2 linked regions of the Arabidopsis thaliana genome follow. The gene in region 1 interacts genetically with each later gene. Each region holds a gene or a part of one and is shown in the gene's direction. Other genes may lie near its edges.

Region 1 (8,028 bases):
AGAGCCCAAAACAACAACAACACTCGGAGACTTTTTAGGGCTCATCCCCGAATTATCAGTGCAAGTGGATCGAATTAAACCAAAATCAAAACTAAGCAACCTAACTAACCATATCTTCCGATTTCTCTTATCTCTCTGAAGCCACAAATCTCCAGATTCATTCGTCGTCTCGGTGAGTGTTTTTCTTTTACAGTTCGATTTTTCCGACTCTGTTCGTTGATTCGATTTTCAAATCTGATTTATGTTTTGGGGGAAATCGAATTTGATATCTGTGTGCTCTCGGATATATTATATAGGTTAAGGTTAGACGGAGAAGAAGATACAACAAATATGGCGGTTAGTATGAAACAAATGTCGTTGGTCGTCTCTGCTTTGGGCGTCTTATCCTTTGTTTTGGGAGTTATCGCCGAGAACAAGAAGGTACAAAAAAAAGTCGTCTCCTTTTGATTATTTCGTGAGAAAACTTTAAATTTCCTGTTTGTTTTCGATGATGATTTTTGTTCTTCTTCTTTGTGTTTATCTACTACTACCACATAAACAATTCCTGTTGCTTTTTGGCGCAAGTTAGTTTTTTTTTTGCACAGGAAATAATCACTCTGGAATTGTATGTATCAAACAGTGATCTAACTATGGATGAATCAATTGTTTTGATTTCCTGTTTCTTTAGGATGCTTTGGTTGTTATTTGTGCTATTCTCTGTGAATGGAGGATGTCAAATTTGTTTTAGTCACAGGACTATGACTCTGATATTGTGATATTGTTGGATTGTATGAAAAAATGTGATCTTCTCACAGCTTCATAATTGTATCTAATGATGGGAAACCAATGTGATCTTAACTGACCCGTAGCTAAATCTTACTCTTTCTACACAATTGTTTGACCTCATCATTGTCACTGATCTCTCTAGGATACCGTATGTCAAGAGCTTTTCATAAGTGGGTAAACCACTTCGGCTTTCTTATTCTTATGTGTTACTGATTGTGTGATTTGTTTCTGTTCTTTGTGTTTTCATCTTAGCCTGCGTCTGGGACTCCAATAAGTGGAAAAGGAGTAGTTATCTGCAAATACCCATCTGATCCAACTGTTGCCTTGGGATACCTTTCTGCTGCTTTTCTCCTTGCCTGCACTGTAGCAGGATACAAATCCTTGTTCATCTCTTACAAGGGAAAGTCTGTTCCTAACTCTGTCTTGTTCAAAAGCACCAGCTTCTCTGTGTTCTTCAACATTGCCTTGTAAGCATTTCCTCTTCTTTTCAAGAACACAGTAGCTAGACCATTACAAATATTCTTGGATTCCGGTATTATAAAGCCTAAAAATAGGAGTCTTTTTGTGACCTATGGTTATTGTCGTGTAGGATAACATCTGGACTGGCCTTGTCTCTGTTGCTCTGGCCAACCATTACAGAACAACTTCACTTGACCCGTAATGTTCACCGAAACTTAGAAACCAGTTGCCCCACGGCTAAGACCGGTCTGCTTGGTGGAGGTGCCTTTGTGTCTTTGGACTCGTGCCTTTTCTGGTTGGTTGCTCTGATGCTCGCTGATAACGCCCGTGAAGACCATTTTGATGAAGTTGAAAGCAGAAGCATCGATGGGAACTCTTCCTCCAGGGATGTGAATCTCAAGATTGATGCTTGAGAGAATGATATGCTTTTATTGGTATTGGGTATAAGAAGGGTTTTTCATTTGTTTTCTACTTGTTTGATTAGGAAAATAATAATTTGTTTCTTCTGTTGTTTTTTTTTTTTTTAATGATTGGCTAGAATGTTATGAAACCCATCTCTGCACCTTGATGCATTGTGATTCATAAGCTGTATCTGTGAAAAATAATCTTTTGGTTATATCTCTTACATTTGACATAATTGATATGAGAAAGCACTTCAAATCACACACTATATCAACATTTTTCTTTCTAAGAATATGTAAATATTCACTTGAATTCGGGTGGCTACTAGTAGTCTAGTACTACTATCACAAACCATAAGACTCTTTTATGTCAAAACCAATTAACATGTTTAGAGCCAATGGTTGGAGCTTGGGATGGCATAAATGGGCTAGGTATAGCATATCATAAAGCCCATTAGAAAAGCCCGATATAAACTACAGATCAGTAAAATTAAACCCTGTCAAAAACCCTTTCGTTTTCGTCGTCCGCTCGAGAAAAGAAGATTCACTTCCATCTGCAAATTCCTTCACTCCCTGTGAGCTCAATAGAGAGAGAAGAAGAGATGCCGCTCGGAGAGAGAGGAGGATGGGAGAGGACCGAGTCCAGATACTGCGGCGTTGAGACTGATTTCTCCAACGATGTTACTCATCTTCTCAACTTCAACATTTCCACCGGCGGTTTTGACTATGTTCTCGCTCCTCTGGTTTGTTTCCTTCTTCTTCCTCGACTCTCACGTCCTTGCCTGTTGTTACTGTATCAATTGGGATTTGAAATTTTATATCTTTGACGGAGTTTACTTCTTTCTCTTCCTGCAGGTGGATCCTTCGTATAGGCCGAGCTTGGTGGAAGGAAATGGTGTAGATACTCAGGTTCTTCCAGTCTGTGGCTCTGACTTAGTCTTGTCACCTTCTCAATGGAGCAGTCATGTTGTTGGTATGATTCTATTTGCTTCTCCACCGTGTGATTTTGTACTCGTTATGAATATGATGGGTTTTGATTTGAGTGGTAAATCTTCATTCTCTAGGAAAAATTAGTTCGTGGATTGACTTGGATTCTGAAGATGAGGTCTTACGGATGGATTCAGAAACCACATTGAAGCAAGAAATAGCTTGGGCTACTCATCTCTCCTTACAGGTGCTTGTGCATCTATGGATTTAACTCACTCTCTTTGTTTTCTTGCCTGCAAAGTGATTTTGAAGAGAAATTCTTTTGTTGCAGGCATGCCTTCTTCCCACTCCTAAAGGGAAATCGTGCGCCAATTATGCCAGATGTGTGAACCAGATCTTACAAGGCCTCACTACCTTGCAGGTGGTTTACGAGTTTCTTGCTGCCGGTCTAGCTTTATTTCAGATGAGACTTTTCTTTACAAGATCACCTTCAATCAAGCTCTAACATTTTGTGGATCTTCTTTGTTTTGTTTAAATGTCATTTCTGCGCTGAAGTTATGGCTAAGGGTTCCACTGGTGAAGTCTGAAGGTGATTCAATGGATGATACCTCAGAGGGACTGGTAAGACATTGGATCAAATTTTATGCAAACTTAAGATTGTTAGTACTTTTTGTGCCTTCTCAGATTTTTAAGGGACTCTCTAATGCGGATCCCTTGGAATCACTTGATGTGGCTGCCTTTTAAACCTAGAAATACAAATAAATGTCCCTATCTGTTCACGTTTTTGTACACTTTGTGTGAGGATTACTTTAATATATACTCTCTTCTATGCAGAATGATTCCTGGGAGCTGTGGAATTCGTTTCGTCTTCTTTGTGAGCATGACAGTAAGCTGTCTGTTGCTCTTGATGTTCTGTGAGTTGAGAGAAACTCTTGATTATTGTTGTTAATGTGGACCCAAAGTTTTTTTTCCACTCTACTAACATAACACCATTTTCTTCATATAGGAGTACACTACCCTCTGAAACTTCACTAGGGCGCTGGATGGGAGAGTCTGTGAGAGCAGCCATATTAAGCACTGATGTAAGTGCCTGACTTCTTGCCGCATTATTATAAACTCCACTTTGAAGTATTGCGAATCACAAAATGCCTCTAATTTGGCGTTGCAGGCTTTCTTAACAAATGCTCGGGGTTATCCTTGCTTGTCCAAACGCCACCAAAAGTTAATAGCAGGATTTTTTGATCATGCTGCCCAGGTAACAAACATCCCACTCTTTGTGATATAGAAATAAATTAAAATCTTCTTTTGACTCACAAAAGAGATCTATTAGACTCGATCTGGTGCTCATTATCATCAATCTTGTAAATGCAGGTTGTAATTTGTGGAAAGCCTGTTCATAATCTTCAAAAGCCTCTTGATTCTAGCTCGGAGGGTAATTTTTCTGTATAATCTTTTGTCCTCTGAAAATTAGCTATTATCCTCTGGGCTTGTTTTCCGTAGCTCAATTTATCACGGGCATTGTTATAATCATAGTTGATTCCAAGTTTTGAGCTAAATATTTTATTACGGGCATTGTTTGTCAGGTACAGAGAAGAATCCTCTGCGCATATATTTGGACTATGTTGCTTATCTGTTCCAAAAGATGGAATCACTTTCTGAACAGGAACGCATCGAGGTCGTTTTTTGCATCCTTTTGCCTCAGTCCTTCTATGTTTTTTATCACTAGATGCAAGCTGGCAGATACAACTCTATTCTGACAGTTATCTAAATCTTACTCTTTGTACAGCTGGGTTACAGGGATTTTTTGCAGGCACCCCTGCAGGTTAGCCTCTTTTCATAAGCAATTCTGATTTCTGTCCGTTCATCATGATAATTTACCCTGTATGAAAATGCTCTATTCTTACTGTAAAGAGCCTCTACTGTTTTTTTTTTAATGAATACAGCCTCTTATGGACAACCTCGAAGCCCAAACCTATGAGACGTTTGAGAGAGACTCTGTTAAATACATCCAAGTATGTTGCATATTCTAGTTTTTTCCCCTCACATCTTAAATTTTAACTCCTTTGGTTTCTAGATTTCCCCTCGTCTATTTCTGCTTCGGTTTGCAGAGGAGAGTGGACTGATGGATGAATCATGTTGAACAATTTAATATCATAGCCTGGTTTTTTTTTAAAGCATGCTTAACTTTCGTCCATCTTTGTGTTGTTAGTATCAAAGAGCAGTTGAGAAAGCCTTGGTGGACAGGGTACCTGATGAAAAAGCATCCGAGTTGACTACTGTATGTCATATGTCAATGTTTTGCTTACAAAGTGGCATTTTCATTTATAAGTTTTTTTTCTGCTATTCATATGAAATACTTCAGTAGGACTGAAATTTTAGTTTTTAGGTCCTGATGGTTGTGGGGGCAGGAAGGGGACCCCTTGTGAGGGCATCGTTACAGGTAAAGTCCTGATGCACAAGGAGACATTGAAAATTCATTTGTTTCATTAATCAAATGTGTTCATTGTTTCCTTTACCAGGCAGCTGAAGAAACTGATCGGAAGTTGAAAGTTTATGCCGTGGAAAAGAATCCTAATGCCGTTGTAACACTCCATGTGAGTTGTCAGCACTGAGTCGATTAAAAAATTGCTAATTTTCCTGTGATTTCATTCGGACGTGCAGTGTGGTTTCTAATTAACTCAGAGCATTGTTATTTTTTCTGATAGAATTTGGTTAAGATGGAAGGATGGGAAGACGTTGTTACGATAATATCCTGTGACATGCGTTTTTGGAATGCTCCCGAGCAAGCTGATATATTGGTCAGTATGTACAGATTTTTGTAGCTAATACTCATGCTGACATTATATACAGTTCATCTAATTCTCGTTTGCCTCTTCTATGCAGGTTAGCGAACTGCTGGGTTCTTTTGGAGACAATGAACTTTCTCCTGAGTGTCTTGATGGAGCCCAAAGGTTTCTGAAGCCAGACGGAATTTCAATACCATCCTCGTATGTGTACTCCTTCGCTTAGTTGAAATTTCATAAGAAACTCATCTGTCCTTTTGTTTCTCTAACTGGAGGAGGAACATCGTTATTACTTTTTCAGGTATACAAGTTTCATACAGCCTATAACAGCTTCGAAGCTTTACAATGACGTAGGTTCTTCTGCTTTTTGCTATGTACTCGCAAGAGTTTTCAGATTAACTCAAGTTCTTTTTCATCCATTTGGCAGGTTAAGGCTCATAAAGATCTTGCGCACTTTGAAACTGCTTATGTTGTCAAGCTGCATAGTGTAGCAAAGCTTGCTCCTTCCCAGTCTGTGAGTCTCTCTCTGTCTCCAGCATTTTCTAATAGCTTAAAGTGTTCTCTTTAAATACATTTATGCAAGTCTTGTCGATCTGACCATCTCAGGATTTTTGGTTTGGTCTTAAATAGGTTTTCACATTTACTCATCCAAACTTCTCAACGAAAGTCAACAACCAACGCTATAAGAAGCTTCAGTTCAGTCTACCAAGCGATGCTGGCTCAGCTTTGGTGCATGGTACCTGCTTTTTTCTAGCCCTTTTTTGTTTGTTAATGTCAATTTTACATCTCCATTTCCGTAATCTGAAACTGAATCTACTGCGATCATAATAGGATTCGCTGGCTATTTTGATTCCGTCCTTTATAAAGATGTTCATCTTGGGATCGAGCCTACAACAGCAACACCAAACATGTTCAGCTGGTAATGGATTAATGTCTATAAATGTTTTAAAACAGAGCTTTCTTCTATCGAACCTCTTACTTCAACCGAGAGAAAATCGTGTTCCTTTTGGCAGGTTCCCAATCTTTTTCCCATTGAGGAAGCCTGTGGAGGTTCACCCTGATACTCCATTAGAAGTACACTTTTGGAGGTGTTGTGGTTCCTCAAAGGTAAAAAAAGTTGAAACCACAAGATTCCATACAACTAACTCTTTGTCTAAAGAACTATTATTGATCCTCTGATTTTCGGGTTCAGGTTTGGTATGAATGGTCGGTGTCTTCACCTACTCCATCTCCGATGCATAACACCAATGGCCGTTCGTACTGGGTTGGCCTTTAGGATTAGAGACTTTTGACTGATGACGAAAAAGTTATGTAATCTTATTGTGCTGTATTTTTGTCACAAGAAAGACTAAAGTTTACGAGTGAATCAAATCTCTCTTGACCTTATTTATGTTTGTACTTTTTCAGTAATTTCATTGCACTTTTAATACAAAGCTATCTCTTTCATCTCAAAAGGCCAAAGTATACAAGTGAATCAAATCTATTTTGTTCATTTAATTGTTTGTACTTTTTGCAGTAATTCAGAGCTATCTCTAATACACGCTGTAATCTCAAACGGCCAAAACGACCCAACAAATCCTGCCTCGGCCGTTTGACAAAACATTGGTAATAGATTAAGAAGTTGCGTTTAAGGAGTTCCGTTGCTGTTTTTTAATCCATTCGTCGTAATCTTTAAGTAATTGCTGAAGCAGAAGGGGAACCAGTGTATCGACCAGTGTCTGCATTACTCTGCAATCATCGTATCAAAATATAACATTACTCGGGCACTTCGAGCCAAGAAGCAGAAGAAATGTAAAACGAACAATAATGTACACTTACAGATTCCCAGGAGCCTCAACAGCTGATACTGGAAGCATTGTGAACGGTCGCGTTGAGATCTGCCATGAACAAGGGGGATTTTGATGAACATAGGAAACAAAGCTTTTTCATATACACAAAACCGAAATGAGAATCATAAGTCGACATGACCTATCCACACAATGATGGATCACAGACAACCATCACGGTACAGTGCAGTATTTGATACTCTTAAGGCTAATAGGATTGCACGAGAATGAAGTTATGAAGGAATGAAAGAAACTGAACTGCAATACACTACCTCTAGAGTGACATTCAATCTCACGTCAACTTCCAAAAATGGCTCTGGATGTTCCATGTTCCAAGTCATGCAGTTTGTCATTATTGCTGTGAACCAGAAATGGGAAAACACTTGTATTACTTTTGAAACATTAGATACCAAGTGCTTTTCTTCACAAGAGGAAAGTTACCTGAAAACCTTTCACTTTGGTTCTCCAATAACTCTGATCCTTCCAACTGCAAGACAGTGGTTCAAAACATTTGTCGGTAAAAGGAAAACAATAGAATATATATCTGCTAAATCAGAACGGGAATCTTCATCATTCAACCTTGCAGGAAAGCAGCTCAACTGTACAATCTTCCTGTGTGGGAGTGACCCTTAAAACCAGTACTGGATAAACTTCAAAACTCATTAACTGAACTTTTGGCAATGTACATCTGCACTGTAAGACAAAGATTTACTATCTCCCTTTCCAGATAGAAGGCATATTTCCAAATAATGATGCTAACATATTAGAAAACATCTGACAAGCTTGTGACTGGATATCAATTAGACGAATCTATGTTTATGATTAGAGATACACTCTTCGGATACTTATGCTTTGCAGATATAACAA
Region 2 (6,052 bases), on another chromosome or scaffold:
CCAAGAAAGCAAATACAAAAGAACAAAAAAACAAAAAAACAAAAAGTTTATTATGAAGACAAGAACAAAACCCTTACACTCGTCCAAGAACTAATCCGATCATTAAGAGCCAAAATTCGATTGTTTATCTAAAGACAAATCTCTCAGAGCGGATTCTTCACTTTCTCAAGATGTACAAGGAAACAATATTCTCAAGCTCAAAACAACCTGAGAAAGTGGTGACCAGCTTACATCTAACATTAATTCAATGAGATCCTGGTTCATTGGTGAAACAAACTTGAAACTACTAGGAAGGTTTCAATCGAATGAAAACATTAAATTAGATGTGAACCATATGGCACCCTATGAATCCAGATTGTCAACAAGTTAACTTTATACACACAGACAAATATGACAACGATAGACAGTTTTTACTTTTTAATAAAACAGAGGCAAGAAGATGAGCATATGCTAGTGGTGGGGCGTGTCATTCTTAGATTCTCGGGTGGAACATAGGTTTGACCAGCAAAATGGTGAGGCCAATTATTGGGCTCAGTAGGTTGGTATGGGTTTAACCATTTTCAGCCTATATAAGGTTTACCTTGCCATATTACTTCAAAATTATTCAAAATCAACACAAATACTCAATCCATTCTTGTTTTATCACAAATCAGATGATCTTACTACTGTGTTCTAGGCTGAATTTATGCGAATAAAAATGTACCTTCCTTCAGCTTTCACAATGCATGAAGATAGATATGAAATTTGTAAAACTATGGATCTTTTGATACAATCCTGGACAACAAATTCATAAACCAATAATCATTGGAAGAGATTAAAAAGGGGACATAGGAAGAGGTTGTGACTTACGGATTTACATCTTGGGTCTGCCACCGAAATGCTTCAAAGAAAATCTGGAGGGACCACTGCGACACTCGGGTCCTTTTCTGGAAACTCCCCAACGTCCAGCATATGGCAACCATCCTTTAATTAAGTTAACTAGTCTGGATTCTGCTGCCGGTAACTCGTCTTGTGCTCCTGGATAACACTTCTCAGCTACATCATCCACACCGTTCTGGTTTTGGTTTTGTATTTGGATTTCGTTGACAATGGATGACACATCCAACCTACCATACAAGGATTCTTTAGCAGAGCATTGAAATGCAGAGACGATATAGGAAGATTGTTACAAAGTACTTACTCGAGGTACCGCTTGCAACTCGGGCTCTTGGATCTTTTGTTCATAGGAGAGTGGTCTATCGACAAATGCCTTACGAAATGTAACTGAAATAGAGTGAAAGGGATGTTAAGACTTTCAAAGGAATGAGATTGCGTGCATACGATTCTTATATAGAAGTGAGAAGGAGTTTAACGAACTTGGTCTCCATCATTGAGACCGAGATAACGGATGCTAGTCTTGTCATTGACTAATCTCTGGTCTCGATAACACAAGCAAAAATGACCCCAGACGTGAGACCTGTAGGCAAAGATCAAAGTGAACGACTGTACCAGAAAGCTTAAGCTGTGAGAATTTTCATATGAAATGATGATATACCATGAAATCATGCCGTGACCTTCCAGAGGAGAAATGGTGAATACTTGTTCCACAGCTCTTTTGAGCTCTGCCACTGAGCAATCCTTTGCAACTTCCACATCTATTGATTCGTTGGAAACCATTTAACTTCTTGAGAGGCCAAATCAGAAACAGTAACCAAAAAACTAGTTGATACTTCATCCAAAATTATGTCTATTAAGGCTCTTAAACAATGATTTCTAACAGCAACAAAAAATTCCGGATTAGAGATCGATTAGGGTATCACCAACTGAGGGAACCGTTGAGCTTGATTGTAAACTAAACTCTTAAAATTGCTATTTCGGAAACTGGATAAGCAAAATCGTACCGAAAAGGGAGCCGTTGAGCTTAACGACGGAAAGCTTGATACGACCCTGAGGAGGAAGTTTCAGGTAGGAAGATCTCCGTCCAGAAATCGAACCACCGTCGTTTAAAGCAAACGATGACAAGAAGCGTGGATCTATCAACGACCTCAGTCCTCCACTTCGACGACCGTCCCTAACCGGACTATGCTCTTCTCGCATTGCCGATTCTCCCGGATTTTCACCGACAAGATTCTGCTCTCTTTGCTCTTCTTCTTCAGCCTTCAGGTGACTGTTGAGGAGCTGAGCGAGCGAGCGAGAGAATCGGGAGAGTTTGTTTTCCGGGGAAAAACCGCAATTACTGCTATATAGCTCCCCAATAAATGCCAAAACAAAAAATCAAATTAAAGTTTGTCAATGGGCATCACGGCCCAAATCTAATAATCAAAGGCCCAATAACTTGATTCGACAATACTTAGCGGGTTTGGATAACCGCCTAAGCATCTGTTCGACACCGCCTATTTTTTTTTTTTACTTACTCCTCCTGATCTGCTGATATAAGGCCGAACGGGAATAAAAAAAAAAAAAAAGGAAGAAGCGACTCACCCGAAAATGTTTTAGGGTTTTTCTTTACTCGATTAAGCTCACTAGTTCTTCGCAACGTAGTTAGAGATCGACACTGGCGCGGTGGATTTAGGGTTTTTTTCCTCCGCGACTACGCTCGGCGTTTCGATTTGGAACCCTAAGCTATGTGGAACAACAACGATGGTATGCCCTTAGCTCCTCCTGGTACTGGCGGGTCCATGATGCCGCCACCTCCCGCTGCTCATCCTTCTTACACGGCGCTTCCGCCGCCTTCTAATCCGACTCCTCCGGTCGAGCCTACTCCTGAGGAAGCGGAGGCTAAGCTTGAGGAGAAGGCCCGAAAATGGATGCAGCTAAATTCCAAACGGTACGGCGACAAGAGGAAGTTTGGATTCGTTGAAACTCAGAAGGAGGACATGCCACCTGAGCACGTCAGGAAGATCATCAGGCTAGTTTTCTTCTCTTCTTTCTCTACCATTTCGAAATACAGTTTACTTGATAATTATTTTCTGGCTAGGTTTCTAAGATTTGGTTAGGATTTACTTATTTTGAGACTGAAGCTGCGATTTCTTTCTTACTTCAGAGATCATGGTGATATGTCATCCAAGAAATTCCGTCACGACAAACGTGTATACCTTGGAGCCCTTAAATTCGTCCCTCACGCAGTTTTCAAGCTCTTGGAGAACATGCCTATGCCCTGGGAGCAGGTACATTTTTTTTCCTTTAGCTTCAGCTGTTTTCATCGTCTGTTCATTTATCTAAATCCTCATTTTCTTTCAGGTCCGAGATGTAAAAGTTTTGTACCACATCACCGGAGCTATTACATTTGTGAACGAGATACCATGGGTTGTGGAACCTATTTACATGGCTCAGGTTGGTGATTAGTCTTATCTCTTATTTACTGTCTCTGTGCGCTGATGGATTTTCAATAGCTTTTGATGGTTATTCCATTCTTGTTTTGCAGTGGGGTACTATGTGGATTATGATGCGAAGGGAGAAGAGGGATCGTCGTCATTTCAAGAGAATGCGGTTCCCACCTTTTGATGATGAGGAGCCTCCACTAGACTATGCAGACAACTTGCTGGACGTGGATCCTCTGGAGCCAATTCAATTGGAGCTAGATGAGGAAGAAGATTCTGCTGTCCACACTTGGTTTTACGACCACAAGCCACTCGTTAAAACAAAACTGATTAATGGTCCCAGTTACCGGAGGTGGAACCTCTCACTTCCAATCATGGCAACCCTTCACAGGCTTGCAGGCCAGTTGCTGTCTGATTTGATTGATCGCAACTACTTCTACTTATTTGACATGCCATCTTTCTTCACAGCAAAAGCTCTGAACATGTGCATACCTGGTACGCCATTTTCCTTCTATGCTCCAGTTTTTATATTTTTGCTGCGGGTCCATTGCTTTTAATGCATTCTCCTACTCTTTTCCAGGTGGACCCAAGTTTGAACCTTTGTACCGTGATATGGAGAAAGGGGATGAGGACTGGAATGAGTTTAATGACATCAACAAGCTCATTATTCGTTCCCCTCTGCGTACTGAGTACAGAATAGCTTTTCCCCATCTCTACAATAATCGGCCCAGGAAAGTAAAACTCTGTGTGTATCACAGTCCTATGATCATGTATATAAAGACCGAGGATCCCGATCTTCCTGCATTTTATTATGATCCGTTGATTCACCCAATAAGCAACACCAACAAGGAAAAACGTGAAAGGAAGGTTTATGATGATGAGGATGACTTCGCCTTACCAGAAGGTGTGGAACCTTTGCTAAGAGATACCCAACTCTACACTGACACTACAGCTGCTGGCATATCATTGTTGTTTGCCCCACGACCTTTCAATATGAGGTCTGGGAGGACGCGCCGCGCAGAAGATATTCCCTTGGTGTCAGAGTGGTTCAAAGAGCACTGGTAAGCTATTTGTTTTTATTCTACTTTGGTCCTCTTTACCGTTTTGAAATTTACTGGTGACCGTCCTAATACATATTGTGAACTCATTAACTGCAGTCCTCCAGCCTATCCGGTTAAAGTTCGGGTTAGTTACCAAAAGCTATTGAAGTGCTATGTGCTGAATGAGTTGCACCATAGACCGCCTAAAGCTCAGAAGAAGAAGCACTTGTTTCGATCTCTTGCAGCTACAAAGTTTTTCCAAAGTACCGAACTGGATTGGGTTGAAGTGGGTCTGCAAGTCTGTCGGCAGGGATATAATATGCTGAATCTGCTGATTCATAGGAAGAATTTAAACTACCTGCATCTTGACTACAACTTCAACCTCAAGCCTGTGAAAACTTTGACCACCAAAGAGCGAAAGAAGTCACGTTTTGGGAACGCTTTCCATCTGTGCCGTGAGATCCTCCGCCTGACAAAACTTGTAGTTGATGCAAATGTCCAATTCCGACTTGGTAATGTCGATGCCTTCCAATTGGCTGATGGTCTGCAGTATATTTTCTCTCATGTTGGCCAGTTGACGGGTATGTATCGTTATAAATACAGACTGATGAGGCAGATTCGGATGTGCAAGGATTTAAAGCACTTGATATATTACCGTTTCAATACTGGTCCGGTGGGTAAGGGTCCAGGGTGTGGATTTTGGGCTCCAATGTGGAGGGTATGGTTGTTTTTCCTTCGGGGTATAGTTCCTCTTCTTGAAAGATGGTTAGGGAATCTTCTTGCTCGTCAATTTGAGGGGCGTCATTCAAAAGGAGTGGCCAAAACAGTCACAAAGCAGAGAGTTGAAAGCCATTTTGATCTGGAGCTTCGGGCTGCTGTCATGCATGACGTCCTTGATGCTATGCCAGGTTTCCATTTTTACAAACTTGTTTATCAACGATGAAATTGCTTTGCTTTATTCTTTGGTTAACATTTTCTGATAATGTGCAGAGGGTATCAAGCAAAATAAAGCGCGGACTATATTGCAGCACCTTAGTGAGGCATGGCGGTGCTGGAAAGCTAATATCCCATGGAAGGTCCCTGGGTTACCTGTGCCGATTGAAAATATGATCCTGCGTTATGTCAAGTCTAAGGCTGATTGGTGGACGAATGTTGCTCACTACAATCGTGAGCGTATCCGAAGAGGGGCTACTGTTGATAAGACAGTTTGTAGAAAGAATCTCGGAAGGTTGACTCGTCTTTGGCTAAAGGCAGAACAGGTCTGTTCATTGTCTTAATGACTTTGTCATTTTTGTTTGAACATTTTATGAAACTGCGTTATATATTGATGCGTTATCCTTGTAAAACTGTTACAGGAACGACAGCACAATTACCTGAAAGATGGTCCGTATGTCACTCCAGAAGAAGCACTTGCAATTTATACAACTACTGTTCATTGGCTGGAATCAAGGAAGTTCTCACCAATTCCATTCCCTCCATTGTCATACAAACATGACACAAAGTTGCTCATCCTTGCCCTTGAGAGACTGAAGGAATCATATAGTGTAGCTGTGAGGTTGAACCAGCAGCAGCGAGAAGAGCTTGGTTTGATTGAACAAGCTTATGACAATCCTCATGAAGCTCTATCACGAATAAAACGTCATCTTCTCACCCAACGAGGCTTTAAAGAGGTAACTTTATATTTCACTCTATATTGGAGCATTGGATTGACAT

Evidence for each region.
Region 2: of SKB1 (region 1) and SUS2, changing one suppresses a phenotype caused by changing the other (phenotypic suppression), as found in Arabidopsis thaliana (one study listed by BioGRID).

Annotation. Positions count from the first base shown.
Region 1 is NC_003075.7:15,130,768-15,138,795, reverse strand, and holds SKB1 (SHK1 binding protein 1), read left to right. Parts: upstream 1-2,099; 5' UTR 2,100-2,227; coding exon 2,228-2,368; intron 2,369-2,480; coding exon 2,481-2,598; intron 2,599-2,689; coding exon 2,690-2,799; intron 2,800-2,883; coding exon 2,884-2,973; intron 2,974-3,107; coding exon 3,108-3,173; intron 3,174-3,386; coding exon 3,387-3,466; intron 3,467-3,558; coding exon 3,559-3,634; intron 3,635-3,720; coding exon 3,721-3,807; intron 3,808-3,923; coding exon 3,924-3,984; intron 3,985-4,135; coding exon 4,136-4,227; intron 4,228-4,338; coding exon 4,339-4,374; intron 4,375-4,495; coding exon 4,496-4,564; intron 4,565-4,761; coding exon 4,762-4,830; intron 4,831-4,938; coding exon 4,939-4,992; intron 4,993-5,071; coding exon 5,072-5,146; intron 5,147-5,257; coding exon 5,258-5,350; intron 5,351-5,435; coding exon 5,436-5,539; intron 5,540-5,636; coding exon 5,637-5,685; intron 5,686-5,762; coding exon 5,763-5,849; intron 5,850-5,965; and 10 more. Other genes in the region: AT4G31130 (keratin-associated protein (DUF1218)), read left to right, coding at 331-420, 1,018-1,232, 1,355-1,637; AT4G31115 (DUF1997 family protein, putative (DUF1997)), read right to left, coding at 6,949-7,063, 7,154-7,212, 7,434-7,519, 7,603-7,648, 7,741-7,849.
Region 2 is NC_003070.9:30,115,449-30,121,500, forward strand, and holds the start of SUS2 (Pre-mRNA-processing-splicing factor), read left to right. Parts: upstream 1-2,398; 5' UTR 2,399-2,603; coding exon 2,604-2,887; intron 2,888-3,022; coding exon 3,023-3,146; intron 3,147-3,219; coding exon 3,220-3,312; intron 3,313-3,403; coding exon 3,404-3,794; intron 3,795-3,879; coding exon 3,880-4,360; intron 4,361-4,456; coding exon 4,457-5,247; intron 5,248-5,329; coding exon 5,330-5,598; intron 5,599-5,694; coding exon 5,695-6,009; intron 6,010-6,052. Other genes in the region: AT1G80060 (Ubiquitin-like superfamily protein), read right to left, coding at 854-1,106, 1,181-1,263, 1,357-1,456, 1,535-1,634, 1,881-2,076. UniProt on the Arabidopsis thaliana protein: Functions as a scaffold that mediates the ordered assembly of spliceosomal proteins and snRNAs. Required for the assembly of the U4/U6-U5 tri-snRNP complex. Required for embryo development.